Pelodiscus sinensis: one gene and its partner. The protein of the gene in region 1 purifies or fractionates together with the protein of each later gene. This does not show direct contact. Links are inferred from orthologs where the notes say so. Each region holds a gene or a part of one and is shown in the gene's direction. Other genes may lie near its edges.

Evidence for each region.
Region 2: the proteins of PRKACB (region 1) and AKAP1 purify together in Homo sapiens (affinity purification with mass spectrometry; 4 studies listed by BioGRID and IntAct, counting the BioPlex papers as one, with this or other methods). This does not show direct contact. The link is inferred for Pelodiscus sinensis from reciprocal best matches to the Homo sapiens genes PRKACB and AKAP1.

Annotation. Positions count from the first base shown.
Region 1 is NC_134719.1:29,277,945-29,285,870, forward strand, and holds the start of PRKACB (cAMP-dependent protein kinase catalytic subunit beta), read left to right. Parts: upstream 1-4,913; 5' UTR 4,914-5,009; coding exon 5,010-5,196; intron 5,197-7,926. UniProt on the Homo sapiens protein: Mediates cAMP-dependent signaling triggered by receptor binding to GPCRs.
Region 2 is NC_134731.1:10,350,041-10,357,242, reverse strand, and holds the start of AKAP1 (A-kinase anchor protein 1, mitochondrial), read left to right. Parts: upstream 1-4,192; 5' UTR 4,193-4,350; intron 4,351-7,202.

The DNA of each region.
Region 1 (7,926 bases):
GGGGTGGGGAGGGAGATAAAGTACAGGGCTGGCGGAGATGAGGGAGGAAGAAGGGACCCTGGCTGGTGGAGATAGGGAGGGGAAAGGGCCAGACTGATGCCTTGCATCTGGCCAGAGGGGGTCACCGGGGAACTGCATGGCAAGCGGCAAATCTCCGCCGCTTTGTAAGGAGGCAGACGAAGCCCTGGGAAACCCAGCCTCAAGCGGAGGGCGGAGGAGAGGGAGCGAGGCATCCAGCCAGAGGAGGTCACCGAGGAATGGCGCAGAGAACCTCTGGAGGCAGGGTAAGCCCTGCACAGCTGCCAGTGACCAGCCAGCTGGGGAAATTCAGCTGCCCGCTGCAAGCGGGGGGGGGCAGAGGAGAGGGAACAAAGCATCCGGCCAGAACGGGTCGGTGGGGAACAGCACAGCGAGTGAAGAACCTGTGCCGCTTTGCAGAGAAAGCCTTTCTCAGCTGCCGGCCACCGGCTGGCCCTAGGGAAAATCATGTTATTGCGGGGACGGGTCATGTTGTTTGAAAAATGTTCCCAAAAAAAATCATGCTATCACGAAAACGTGTTAAGCGGGCACATGTTAAGCGAGGAGTTACTGTATCAGTAAAAAAACGAGTGGTCCTGTAGCAGCTTAGAGACTAACATTATATATATATATATATATATATATATATATATATATATATATATATATATATATATAGTATCACTAGGGGGCTGTACTGCCTGCTTATTATACTTGCCAACCTCACTCTGTTGCAGCCACATCGTGGCCTCCTCTCCTGCCCATGCCTCAGCAGGAGGGGGACTACCACCAACCCTTCCTGCAGCCAGATGGTGGCTGGACCGCAGGCCCTACCCCAGTATTGGGGCCAGGGACAGGATGCGGTGGCCAGAAGGGGGTTAGGCCCCAATTGGGCAGGGAGTCTGGCTTGGCAGAGGGGGCAGGAGTAGGTTGGGGGCAGGGTGACGGCTGGGGATAGGAGGCAGGAGCAGGCAGGGAGTGTGAGGCTTGGCAGGGGAGGGAACGTGTGAGGCACTGGGGAGACAGGGCCAAGGCTGCAGGGGCTCTTACTTGTTTTCATGTGGCATGCTGCTTCCAGGCACCAGAGGCTTTACCTGCAGCTGTCTGAGTAGCGGGAAAAGCCTCCAACAAGTTCATAGGTGCACCAGCCGGGGAGGGGAAAGGGAAGCAGCAGTGCGCATGCTTCCCCGCAAGCCAGATCCAGCACAGAGTTGTGGGGCTTTCTCTCCCCTTTGACCCCCCACAGGAAGCCAGTGGAGTCTGGAGCGCCAGGCAGGCGGTAGCCCAAGCACACATCCTGAGGCAGGCAGCAGAAGTTCCCTGGGAGTTGGGGTAGGAGGTGCTGGGCCACGGAAGCCAGAGCTCAGAAGCGAGAGGCAAAGGGGGGAGCTGGAGCTGCCGCTTCTCCCTAACCCACCTGCAGGGGAACCAGGAGGCCAGCAAGGAGCCCAGGGGGTCCCCAAGGAGAGGCCAGGGCAGAACTCTGAGCCATGGCCATCTCTTCCCCTTCAGAGACTGCCAAGGCTGGGGGTGGGGGACAATGCAGAGTGATGTGATGATGTCACTATTGTCCCACAGGAAAATTTTTGCAAGAGAGAGAGACAGACACGAGGTTTTGTTTGCAAAACCCACTTGCTCAGATGAGCAGAGCAGAGTGGAGAGAAAAGGGGACCCTCACAGTTTGACAGAAAAAGAAGGGTGAGGGGAAAGGACCTATCAGTTGTAGTGCTGGTGCTAAAGAGGCTAATTGAGTGGACTGGAAGTGTCCCATACTAGGGATGCTAGTGAGTAGTTTACTACTTGACTAGTCTCTGGGGTGCCACCTACCCCCTTCCTCCGTTGTCCCTATCAGAGGTAGCAGGGTGAGGATAGGGGAGGCTACTCTGGCAGAAGCCCCTGTTCGCAGGGGTCTCATTGGGGAACTGGGGCCTGCCCGCAGACAGGGGCTGCTGCTGCCAAGCAACCCCTGTTTACAGTGGCTGGAGCAGACTCAGTTTGTGGTGGCTAGGGCTGGTCAGTCCCAGCTCCAGGAGCTACCCTTGCTATGGCTCTACAGAGTGCCCCTTATCGACTAATCTTATAGTTGATACAAATTTTATCAACTACATGATTAGCCAGATAACTGCAATTTAACATCCTTCTCCCATACTTAACTTTTTATGTCACTTGAGTGTTGAATGTTAGGAAAGCAGATTTTATAATGGCCCATCCAGTTAATGTCTTTGTTCAAGCCATGAGAAACAGCGTCAAACTTGCATATGAAGGCCAGTTCTGCACTCTCTCTGTGGTGTTGGTTTTTGAAATTTCTTTGTAGAATATTTTAAATCCATTAATGAGTGTCCAGGTAGATTAAAATGTTCTCCTGCGGGTTTGCGTGTATTGCCATTTCTGATATCTGACTTGTCTATTTATCCTTTGTTGTGTGTGTATATATATTAGGGTATGTCTACACTACCCCGCTAGTTCGAACTAGCGGGGGTAATGTAGTCATCCGCACTTGCAAATGAAGCCCGGGATTTGAATTTCCCGGGCTTCATTTGCATGAAGCCGGCCGGCGCCATTTTTAAATGCCGGCTAGTTCGGACCCCGTGCCGCGCGGCTACACGTGGCACGGACTAGCTAGTTCGGATTAGGCTTCTAATCCGAACTAGCTGTATGCCTCGTGGAACGAGGTGTACAGCTAGTTTGGATTAGGAAGCCTAATCCGAACTAGCTAGTCTGTGCCGCGTGTAGCCGCGCGGCACGGGGTCCGAACTAGCCGGCATTTAAAAATGGCGCCGGCCGGCTTCATGCAAATGAAGCCCGGGACATTCAAATCCCGGGCTTCATTTGCAAGTGCGGATGACTACATTACCCCCGCTAGTTCGAACTAGCGGGGTAGTGTAGACATACCCTTATGTATTTGGCCAATATACAATGCAGTGCCCCTCTCCCATGTACAATTGGTGGTAGAGAGGGAAAAAGTTGACCTTGACAAAGCATAGAAGAACAGAAGGTGGTTTCACCACAAGTGAGAGGGTGTAATCAGGTGGGAGGAGGAAGTATTTATACCCTGGGAAGTTCTGGAGAAGTCTTCTCTCACTGCATTAGATCTTAGTTGCCCGTGCCCTCCCACAAATGGATTTTTTCCTAATCTGCTATGAGTAACCTTTTTCTTAAGGGCTGGGAAGGGATTTTTCTCTCAGTGCCCAATTGGCCAAAATGGATTGTTCTTTTGTGTTTTACTTTACCCACAGCAGGTCAGGGCCTGGTAGCCTAGGCTAATTTGGGTCAAAATATTGCAACGTAATAATTAACAAATGTGGCAGATGTCCAGTGCAAGTATGTGTTATGGACGGGTACAGCGGAGAATGAATTCCCCCGCACCGTGTTCCTTTTCCATCTCCCTTAATTCTCATGGTGGGGAGATGGGTGAAGTCCCAGCAACAGGTTGATAGGGATCAGGTGCAGAGATAGAGGATTGATAGCACCTAAGGATGTAAACAGGTAACTGGTTAATTGGGCAGCTTCACACCCGGCCAGCCTCCTGGGGGGCATTCCAGCCCATCAAGGTCAGAGCAGACTCATGCTGTGGAGCCCCAGGGCTGGCCAGGATGGAGCACACCCAGGAAACAGTGTAATAGGTCCTGCTGAGCCCAACTGGAGCAGCCCCCACTGGGCTGCACCAGGCCTGCCATGCTGCAGGGACCAGGCGCCCCCTGCAGGGACCTGGCTGTATTGAGTTGCCCTGATTTACAGGTTTGGGACCCATCACAAAGGTATGAATAAAGACATTACCTGCCTAGCACACTACCTTCCACATCCTAATGACTTAAAAAAACAAACGGGTACTTAGAGCAGGTGCAAATTGTTTTTCTCAGCTTCTTGTAACATGGATACTTTTATTGACTTTTTCCCTCCTTTTCCCCTCCTTCTCCTTGCCCCCAGTCTCCTGTTTATCTTGGAACTGGACCTTAAACTCCATTCATCTGAAGAAGTGGGTTGTACCCTTGAAAGTTCATGATATCATCTACATGTTTTGTTAGTTTTTAAGGTGCTGCTATACTATTCATTGTCTTTTAAGTTTTTCCAGTTACAGACTAACTCAGCTACTCTTCTGAAGTGGTTAAACATCGTTTAACTGGTTAACATTTTAAATGGGATTTTGTGTCCCTAATAGCAGGCCTCCTAAATAGGTGGAAATGATTAAGAGGAGAACTATGATGATCACTGTACAACTTACTGCTAGATATTCCCAGATATATTAAATGTATACAATTGCAAGCTAATTACATCTTCTCCATTGCCTTCTGTTTTTCTTCTGGGATGGTTGGAAAATGGATATATTTCTTTATTAAGGACTGGATGTTACCTTACTCAGTAAGTGGCCCCACTGACTTGTTGATAGACATTTGGAGGAAGCTAAAACTCAGCATGAGTAAGGTTGGCAGAATCTGGCTTCTTGTTACACAAGAACTATTCTTTAGCTTACTCCATTATGGCTTTCTAAATGTAAAAGGACAAAAGTGGTAACTTTGTTAATTTTTATTTACCATAAAACATCATTTGTTTTAACAAGTTAACCTTCTTGCTTAGAAAATTGTACTGTTGTAAAAAAAATGTAGGGATACTTTTTAGTTGATGGATGTTTATGGGAGCTATTTTTAAATTTTATCTGTATTCTGATTTTTTCCTTCACTTTATATCACATGCAGTTGTGTATTTTCATTGTCATGTGTTTTTTTATATGAAAAAAGTTGTTAAACTCAGAGTTTAAGACAACTATTACAGCTCTTTTAACCGCCACCTTTAGCAGATACAACAGAGTTTTGCTAAGAAAAGCACCATAACGTGCTGTTTTGTATTAACAGGAAGCAGAACAGCAGTAGTGGTTAGAAACACTGCATTCAGGAAGTTTGACACATGCATAAGTTCCTAGCTTCTGTTTAAGTTGTTTGAGCTCCTTTATAGATTGTCTAATGTTTTTTAAAGTAAATTATCAATGAATATAGATGGCAGCGCAGCGGGAACTATCTTGTAACCAGTGCACAGGGACATCCACTGCTTTGCAGAGACTTGAAGGGTTTGCTAACCGACTTTTTCATAGGCACTCTAAGGGTAGTTTACAAGAACAGAAAGTGGCTCTGGAAAATGAGAGCCATCATTTCTCTGAACTTGCTGCCCTATGGGACAGATCAAGTAAGTGTACTGTAGATATTTAATATTCAGTTTTTATGGTAATTAAAAGATTTTATGTAGTAAATAGACAAAACTACTGTAAATTCTATCAGCCTTTTTATAGTGTAACAGTAAATGTAGCTTTAAAGCAAGAGCTATTGCAACATGCAGGTGGAAATTTGATACTCTTTCACAGGGACTTGGTGTCTGGTAACAGAGTTTCATATGTGAGCTTCCTTTTTCTTAGACAAGTGTTGTTAACTTAATTTCTGTGTTTTTTGTAAGCTTTTCTTCCCAGTATTCCAGATCTAAATTAGATAGTTTTAGCAACAGTAGATAATTTACTTGTTTAAAATTGTGGGTTTTCTTTGTCTTTAATTTTGGAAGGGTGGATATTATGTTATGCTGACTGGGGGGTTAATTACATGACATCTTTTAAAAAATTATAGTGTCATTTAATTTTTATTAGATATTTCATAATCCATTTTGTGGTAATTTGAACACTAAAACTAGAGCATAAATTCATTGTTTACTATTTCAGATTAATGCAGTGTATTAATTTTGATTTATACCACTAGTTATCTATCACTTTAATTTTATAATCTTAATTCGTGAGTGCAATTTTATTTATATTGTAGAAAATATGTATGATCAGAAATAGGGCTCAACCAGGTGCATGCCCCCCCTTACTTTCTAAAACACACAAAATATTCAGAGTTCATAATTCAAGCCAAAAAATAACAAAGTTAATGAGATCAAACTGGTTATCACTGCTGTGTACATACTCTACTGTAAAACAAATAAGTTATTTAGGAATTTGTGTCCAGCCTGGGGTTGGAGAGGGTGAGGCACCACAGAGGCCCCTTGCCAGCGCACTCTGGGCCCGGGAATGGGAAGGGGGCTGTGCAGTCCAGCTCCTGTGGTGTTCCCCAGTCCAAGGTTGGGGAGGAGGGGCTGTGCGGGCTGGCTGGGCGTGACCATGTAGGGCAGCCATGCAGTACTGGGGAATGGGGGAGGGGTTTGGCTGTGGCCCGTGTGGGGGAGGGGAGAGCGGGGGGGGGGAAGGATGTGCTGCGCATCCCTGGTGGCGCTTGTGGGGGGGAGAGTTATGATAGTGGGACCAGCAGAGCTTCTCCCTCTCCCCGGTGTAGTGTTGGGGGCTGGGGGGAGCAGTGGGGAAGAGGTGCCACCTTCATTGTCCAGCAAGAAGGCAAGCCCTGTCTCCAGCTGGCAACCTCCTTCCTGGTGCGGCTTCCCCAAGTGGTCACTCTGCAGTATAGCTGTTCCCTGTGCTCACTGCCCCCAGTGCTCATTCTGCAGTATTGTGTCTCTCTGAACAGCCCCCTCCTTTTCTATATAATGGAAAACAGTCAAATTCCAGGCACATCCTGTTCTCTTGCACAACCAAACCATGAATTTGCTTTAAGTTAGGATAAGAGAAAAAAGCTGCATACCAAATTTGGTGGTCTTAGCTGTTAATGTTTAGGAGGAGTTCTTAAACAAATGGACTCACAGAACAAGACACACAAATCTCTACTATATGTAATATATATAGGGGGGAGGGAGGGAATGAATGTATTGTCTTATTATTTGCTAGCACATTTACCCAGTGTTACTTGGGTCATAACATAAGAATGGCCGTACTGGGTCAGACCAAAGGTCCATCTAGCCCAGTATCCTGTCTGCCGACAGTGGCCAGCACCAGGTGCCCTAAAGAGGGTGGACTGAAGACAATGATCAAGCAATTTGTCTCCTGCCATCCCTCTCCAGCCTCTGACAAACAGAGGCCAAGGACACCATTTTATCCCCTGGCTAATAGCCTTTTATGGACCTAACCTCCATGAAATTATCTACCTTCTCTTTAAACTCTATTATAGTCCTAGCCTTCACAGCCTCCTCTGGCAAGGAGTTCCACAGGTTGACTACAGGCTGCGTGAAGAAGAACTTTCTTTTATTAGTTTTAAACCTGCTACCCATTAATTTCATTTAGTGTCCTCTAGTTCTTCTATTTAGGGAACCAATAAATAACTTTTCTTTATCGGCCCTCTCCACACCACTCATGATTTTAAGTAGGGTCATTAAGTAGGGGTTCAGGGAAGGGGGCTGGAGTAGTGGGATGGGGAGGTTGTAGGAGTCAGGACTGGAGGTATGAAGGGGCTCAGGGCTTGAAATTGGGGGTTGTAGGAGTCAGGGTTGGGTCAGAGGAGGGGCTTAGGGTGGGAAGTGGAGGGTGCAGAAGTCATGGCAGGGAATTGAGAGGTATGGGGGGGGCATATGTTGGGGAGGGAGAGGGGAATTGAAGGAGGTTCCCGGCTGCTTGGTGGGACAGAGGGAGCCATGCTGGCTCATCAACACATGAAAAACTTCCTAACAGTCAGCGTGATTAAAACTGGGATAAATGCATAGGGAGGTTGTGGAATTGCCATCACTGAAGATATTTAAAAGCAAGTTGAGCTAAACCAGGGGTGGGCAATAATTTTTTACTGGGGGCCATTTCAGAAATTTTTGAAGGGGCCCCTGGCTGCACCGGAAGGAGCAGGGCCTCAACTGGAAGGGGCGGTGTCACAAATCATTGTGACAGCAGGGCCACGATACTTCCCCGCTTTCCTACCCACAGATTGGTCTGAGGGCAGGGGAGCAGGTGAAGTCTTTGCTTCCCCCCCCCCTCCGCCCCCAGAGATTATCCCTAGGCACCAATGCCCCTGGCAGTGGGAGAAGACTTCGTGCACTCCCCCGCCCCCAGGTCCTAAT
Region 2 (7,202 bases), on another chromosome or scaffold:
AAGAATTACCTACAGTGCTAAACTGGCTTATTGTAATAATTGATACATATTTCTCCTACTGAAAGTATTTTACAACCGCCGCTTACTTACTATTCAAAGGTAACCTTCTCTATGGTGAAATGGGCAACTGGTTAACAGTGCAATGTAACACAATCCAATGGGTCAAAAAAGGAAATGTATAAAATTTCCCATTAAAACAGAGGGCCTACCAAACTGGCAAGCAATAACTTTGCTAAAGATGGATTCTCCTTTAAGTTTTCCATCCCCATACTGATTCAGCCATAGCCTGCCATGTTCAGTGGCTGTAGTTGCTTGCTAATGTGTCTCTTAGTTTCACTTTTACAATGCTTATTGAAAAATGTGTACTTAGTCTGCAGAAAGTAAGTGTAAAGGGAGGATTTGGTACCAGCCTTCCACTACCTGTCCAGGAGGTTCCAAAGAGGATGGAGCCAGGTTGCTCTCAATGGTGATAGATGACAGAACTTGAGCAATGGTCTCAAGTTACAGTGAGGGAGGTCTAGGTTGGATATTGGGAAAAACTATTTCCCTAGGAGGGTGGGGAAGCACTGGGATGGGTTACCTAGAGAGGTGGTGGAATCTCCATCCCTAGAGGTTTTTAAGGCTTGACAAAGTCCTGTCTGGGGTGATTTAGTTGGGATTGGTTAAGCAGGGAGTTGGCCCTAGCTCTGATGCCCTATGCAGCCACCGTCCCTGAGGAGCAATGCAGGGCCAGGAGCTGTGGGAAGTAGACCCAGAGCTGTGGGGGCAGGAGCAAGGCAGGTTGGCAGCAAGAGTCATACCTGTTCCAGGCAGCACTCACCTGCAGCAACAGAGTGGAGCAACCCAGCCCCAGCCTCGTTATTTGGGTGAAGGGGTGGGAGGAGATGCAGCAGCGGTGGGAAGAGGCAGGTTGGGGCAGAGCAGGGGGCACTTAGGGAAGGGGTAGAGTGTGGTTGGAGCTGGAATGAGGTGAAGTGAGGTCGGGGGGTGTCCCAGGCTCCACACTCCTTATAGAGATGGCCCTACTGGGCACAGCCTATGGTGGGGGCCCTGGCTGCTGGAGCCCATACCTGCCTAGGGCACCATGAAATTTGGTGCAATTTGGTGCATATTTTGCATAGTGGTAGGAACGGCCTTGGTTGGACTAAGGTCTCCTGAGGTCTCTTCCAACCCTAATCGTCTAAGATTCCATAATGGCGTTGAGTTGTCACTGGCTGCTTGTTTGAACGGCACATTTAACGGTTTGATTTCTTTAGGTGATTGAACTGTGCCGCCTGTGTAGCACCGAGTATTTGAACACAGATAAACAAATTAATTAACATGAAGGGAAACACAAGGAGACAGTGAGCCATTTTTAGCTCTTCCAAGGAAGTGACTCAGATACCAGTGATGACTGAAGAAGGAGGCTTTGAGGAGGATGCCCGGACACTGTGAGGTACCTCGGACAGAAAGATTTAAACAGAGGAGCATATGTCCAGTTGTTAAAGGAGACTGAATCAGCGAATCCACCAGCCCAGAAGAGGACATGAAGTGAAGTGTTCTTTCCAAACTGGAGATGGGTGGGGGGGGAAAGGATGGGAGCTCCTTTATTTTGATACCCTCTGAATATTCCTGCTAGTCAGGGTGTCATGTGCACTAGGGCAAAGTGGATTATTGTAATAACCTCGCCAACTGTGCAGTGAAAGGCTACGTCTACACGATGAGTTTTCTTGGCAAAAAATATGCTAATGAGGGACTCATTTGCATGAGTCATTATCTCATTTGCATATTTTCTGCCAATCCGTTTTTGCGCTGAGGTTTTTGCACAAAAACAAGCAGTGTGGACATTTTTTGTGCAAAACCCCCACAAGATCCTTATGCCCCCCAAAAGGAGGTATACTGATAGCATATTTTTTGCCAAGAAAACTCGTAGTGTAGACGTAGCCTCAGAGCGCACACTAGCGTCCAAGTTCCCTCCAAGTCAGGGGTCTCAATCTCAATTTACCTTAGGGCCAGTGCCAGGCCTCAAATTCTCCTAGTGTGCACTTCTCTGACAGGGCTCTGAGTGGGGGGGAGTGTCTCCTCGTGTTCACCCCCACACACACATCTCCTAGCCCTGCCTGCCAGCCCAGGCACTCCCCTCTCCCCCCCCCCCGGTGTGTCCCCCAACCCCACTTGCTGCCCCCAAGTGATTTTAACATCCCACCAGGGACTCCCAGCACCACCCCCAGTAGGGCAAGAGCAGGTTCCAGTCACGAGCTCTGCCCCACATCCCTGTGTCCCGGGGGAGGTGTGTGCAGAACCATCCATAGGATGGTTGGGCATGGTCACTTTGGGGAGCCCGGCCGTGGCCACCCCAACCTATGAATGGGATGGTTCCCCATTCTCGGGTGAGGCGCTCTGCTTCCTGCCGCCGCTGGCCTGGGGGATGGCAGCGGAGCAGAGCCGAGGCTGCTGCGTCGCTCCACTTCCCCGCAGCTCCTGTTGCCATGGTGAGTGCGGGGGGCCCAATCCCTGCTGCTACCCCACGCCAGGCCTCCTGTGATCCCCGAGGCCCCGTTCCTTAGGGGAGGAGGTTGGGGGAGAAGGAGCAAGGGTGGGAAGAGGCCTCGTGGGGGGTGAAGCAGAGACTGGACTTGAGGGAAAGGCTTGGACATTCTCCTCAGGGCTGCAGGGACTCACGTGCCAGCAGCCGTGTGAGGGCCAGGCCGTGGTACTGCTCGGGCCCCTGGGCCGTGAGTCCGAGCCCCCTGTTCTAAGCTGTGCAGCTGCCTATTAAATGACACACGGACATTCGCCTCGGACCTGCTGCTATACCCCTTCCCCAGCCCTGCCATGGCAGGTGTGTGTGTAGGGCAACAGGTGCCCCTCCACCGACTCCACCCCTACTGTAGCCAGGGGACAGGCACCCTGACCATGACCCAGCCCAAACCTGTTGTAGCCAGGGGAGGGGTCCCCTCCTCCCCGTCAGCCCCAGTCCTGCTACAAGGAGAGTTAGAGAGTGTGTGTGTCTTTACTCCCCACTGTAGCCTCAGGGCAGCCTGCACCCCAAACCTCTTCTCCCTAGCACCACTCAGCCTGCACCCTGAGCCAGAACCCTCCCCCCTGCACTCCAGTCCTCTGCCCCAGCCCTTCGTCCCTGGCTCCACCTTGAATCCATAACCCTCCCCCCCCCACCACCCCGGCCAGAGCCATCACATTCCCCTCAACCAACATGCTGAATGCCTATTAAATGCCCCCCCCCCCCCCCCCCCGCCACAGGAATATTTTTAAGTGCACCAATATGGAGACGATGTGTCACACCATATTGGTGCACATAACAAAATTCATTCCTCATGTGGGTGTGAAAAATGAGAGGGAACACTTAGAGTGTCCACCCAGCCATCCGGCTGGGGCTAATTCCCAGCTCAAGGAGACGGACTGCTGCTGTCCTCCAGCTACTGCACTCAAAATAGAACATAGCCCTGGTCTGCCCTGGCAGCACCAGCTGTGGGATGGTCACGGGTCTCCCCAGGGCACATAGTACTTGAGAGGCTCAGGAGCTCAGCCCAGGGGTCTGGGTGAGTGATGGGGGGAGAAGAAGGGAGGTGTATATTGCCAAGATCTGGTGCCAGAGTGGGGCATAAATTTCAGAACTCACGATGCAACTGGCACCCCCCTCTTCAGCTTGGTTTCTATCATATGCACCAGGGGTGGGGAATCTTTTTTGGGTCGAGGGGGCGGGGGCTGACCCACAGAAAAATCAGTCGGGGGCCACACACAAGTGAAAAGTGAAGCGGGTGCCACCCAGCTGGTGAGCAGAGCACCCACAACGACCCGCAGCCAGCAGCATGTTGTTACTACTTGTAGTGCACATCCACGCGTGCCCTGGTGCACAGAACAAAATTTATTCCACGCATGGATTGGAAACAACTCAGAGGGCACATTGGTGGGAGATCGGGGCAAGGGATGGGGGGTTCAGAGGGGCAGGTCAGGGGTGGGGGCGGGGCGGAAGGTGAGGAGGGGCAGAGGGTGGGGGCCGGGTGCAGGAGCACAGACTCCACGTGCTCTCCCCTGTGCTGTACCCTTGGGGGAAAGGCGTGTCCCACAGGCGCATGCGCAGCTGCTTCCCGCTCCCCCTCCCCCACCGCCGCCAAGTAAGTCGGGGCCGGCTGAATGGCACTCGCCGGCAGGTCTCGCGAGATGTGGCTGCCTCGCGCCGGGGGGCGGGGCGTGCGGGCCTTAGTGTAGCGGTTGAATGTCTCAGTGTTCGGACGGGCCCGGTCGGGCAGCACGTGGGGGCAGCGCGGCTGGCGGGGAGCGGCCGGGGTGGGGGCAGGGCACGGCGCGCACGAGGGCTCTGCACCGGGGGCGGCGAGCACCGGACGGATCGTGAGTACCGGGGCCGGGCCGCGTTCCCCGGGGGGGCGGCAGCCGGGCGTGGAGCCGCCGCCTTGTGTGGGCTGAGCGCCGGGGAGCAGGCGCCAGCGTGGTAGGGCAGCTGTCAGCTCTCGAGGGGCAGCCCCCTCCCCCCTGCGCCGTGTGCTGCCCGGCTGCTACCCCCGCCCGCCCGGGGTCACCCCTGCCCCCTGTGCTGCCAGACTGCCAGCCCCCCCTCGCCCGCCCGGGGTCACCCCTGCCCCCTGGGCTGCCAGACTGCCAGCCCCCCCTCGCCCGCCCGGGGTCACCCCTGCCCCCTGTGCTGCCAGACTGCCAGCCCCCCCTCGCCCGCCCGGGGTCACCCCTGCCCCCTGGGCTGCCAGACTGCCAGCCCCCCCTCGCCCGCCCGGGGTCACCCCTGCCCCCTGGGCTGCCAGACTGCCAGCCCCCCCTCGCCCGCCCGGGGTCATCCCTGCCCCCTGTGCTGCCAGACTGCCAGCCCCCCCCTTGCCCGCCCGGGGTCACCCCTGCCCCCTGGGCTGCCAGACTGCCAGCCCCCCCCTTGCCCGCCCGGGGTCACCCCTGCCCCCTGGGCTGCCAGACTGCCAGCCCCCCCTTGCCCGCCCGGGGTCACCCCTGCCCCCTGGGCTGCCAGACTGCCCACGTGGTGTCACCCCAGCCCTCCCCCTTACCCGCCTGGGGTCACCCCTGCCCCGTGTGCTGCTTGACTGCCCACGTGATGTCACCCCCGCGCCCCCCCCCTTGCTCGCCGGGGTCACCCCAGCCACGTGTGCTGCCAAACAGACTGCCCACCCCTGCCTGGAGTCACCTTTTCCCTGCTGCCCTGGGTGGTGCGACAAGATAGCCCCTTTGTCTTTGCTGCCTCATGTGCTGTCAGACTTTCCCTTCCCTTCTGCCCTGGGGCTGGCTCCTATCCAGCTGCCCTTTCTTAACTCCCCTCTCCCTGTCTGATTCTGCTGTGTACCTCCCCACTCCTAGGAGTGCAGCCCCCTGGAGCTCCAGGCACTGGCTTGTTGCTCATGTGTCCCTTGTTGGTTTGGGGAACTTTTTCCCCACTCGCTTCTTGGCAGAGGTGCGATCAGCCCAGTATGGCCAGCGTGGTGCTTGTCATGGAATTACAGGACTGGAAGGAACCTTGGGAGGTCATTGAGAGGCCATTGAATGGTTCTTTTGCCCCATTTGTATCCCCTTTCCTAACTATCTGTAGCAGGTAGTGGCTTTGCTACTGTGAATGGGATAGCGTGCACAGTATACTGGTGCTGTGAGTTAATGGCACAGTATGTGTCCCGCTTAGGCAGCAAGTCTGGCATTGTTGTGCCAAGGGTGTATTATTAAGAGTCTTTTCTTTACCCTAAGAGGGTGATGGTGGTGTCAGCTTTGAACAGTCACAAGGTTGTGTGTGTAGTGACTCCCTGACCCTTGATACGGAGGCACCTATTAGTGGGATTGCAAACCTGCAACAGGGCTGGCTGTGCCACTTGAAAAGAGTATGAGATGAGCTGTCCTTTATCTCTGGCAGTTAGAAGGTGTCAAGATGCTTTCTGTCCTGTTGGCATTTGCAGAGAAATGACCTGAGCTGCTTTTTCTCAAGGTCACTCACACTCCTATGGATTTATTCTTTTAAAGGTCATGTATACCCAGACTGAACAGGTAGTGTGCTGCAGGAAGCAACCTGAGCACCACATCAGGCCTAGCTCGAGGAGGGCTGGGGAGTTTGCTTCTTGTTCTAACAACTAGCATAGGTCACCGCTTTCTGCTCCGGAGCTGGTGGGTGAAATGGGAACTTCACCCATCTTCGTGCTGCCAAGTCTGTACACTTGGCTCATGCTCCTTTGAGCTCAGATCACCTCCCTGTACTTGTTTCAACTAGAAAAGAAGTGCTTCTGGGCCTCTGGGTGCAGCCTTATTTAGTGAAAGTGAGTGACGGGGCAGGCATGTACCTGCTGCTGTTGCCGATGTGACATGGCAAACTAACCCACGCTGTCTGGCTTGATGGCGCTTACATGAGACGAGCTAATCAGTGTGCAATCTCAGTCAGGTCTTGTTCAGCGTGGCTTTGATGGCTCTTGAACCGCGGCTTTTGGACTTGCCCCTTGGAGAAAAAGAAGCCAGTCTTCCCTCCTAAGAGTTGCAGTGTTTGAGACATGCAGTAGCCCAGAGCAGGCAGAGTTGCTTTCCACGGAAAGTCCCTCCCTCAATAAAAACCCCTCAAAGCCCAACGTTCTTTAAACCGATTAAGGCCAAAAAGAAACCAGCAATGAAATCCTGACCCCGTTGAAGTTGGTGATAAAATTCCCATTGGATTCCACAGTCAGGATTTACCCTCTTGTCTGCTTGAACTGATCCATAGGTGAGCAAATTAAGTGAAGACTCTTTTAAACCATTGCAGAGCTCTTACAACTCGTTAAAAGGCAGCTGGAAGACTGGTCTAAATTACATTAGCCGCTCAGCTGTAAAATTAATGGGTAGGTAGATGAGAATCAGTTGGTGTCAGTTGTTGTATATGCTGATTCAGAGTTTCCTACCAGTGTGTAGATCTATTTCTGTAATAGAAAGTGAATCTGTAATTTTTCAATATCTGTGTGTGTTAGCCACTATCTAACTGTCTTAACTCCACTGAAGTCTTAGCTCTCGATGTTTTGTTGGGGAAATACTAGCTGTTGGCTCTCAGAAATACGCTGTTGGGCAGACTGACAGTCTGTGGTTGATGTGATTTCAGGTTCGTTGGGAGCTGTGTTGCAACAATTTAAAACCGAAAGTGAGGGTTGACGTAAGTATTAGTTGTGGAATTGCTAGTGTAGTCTAGCCTATCTCTTCTGTTTGTACAGCACCTAGCATAATGG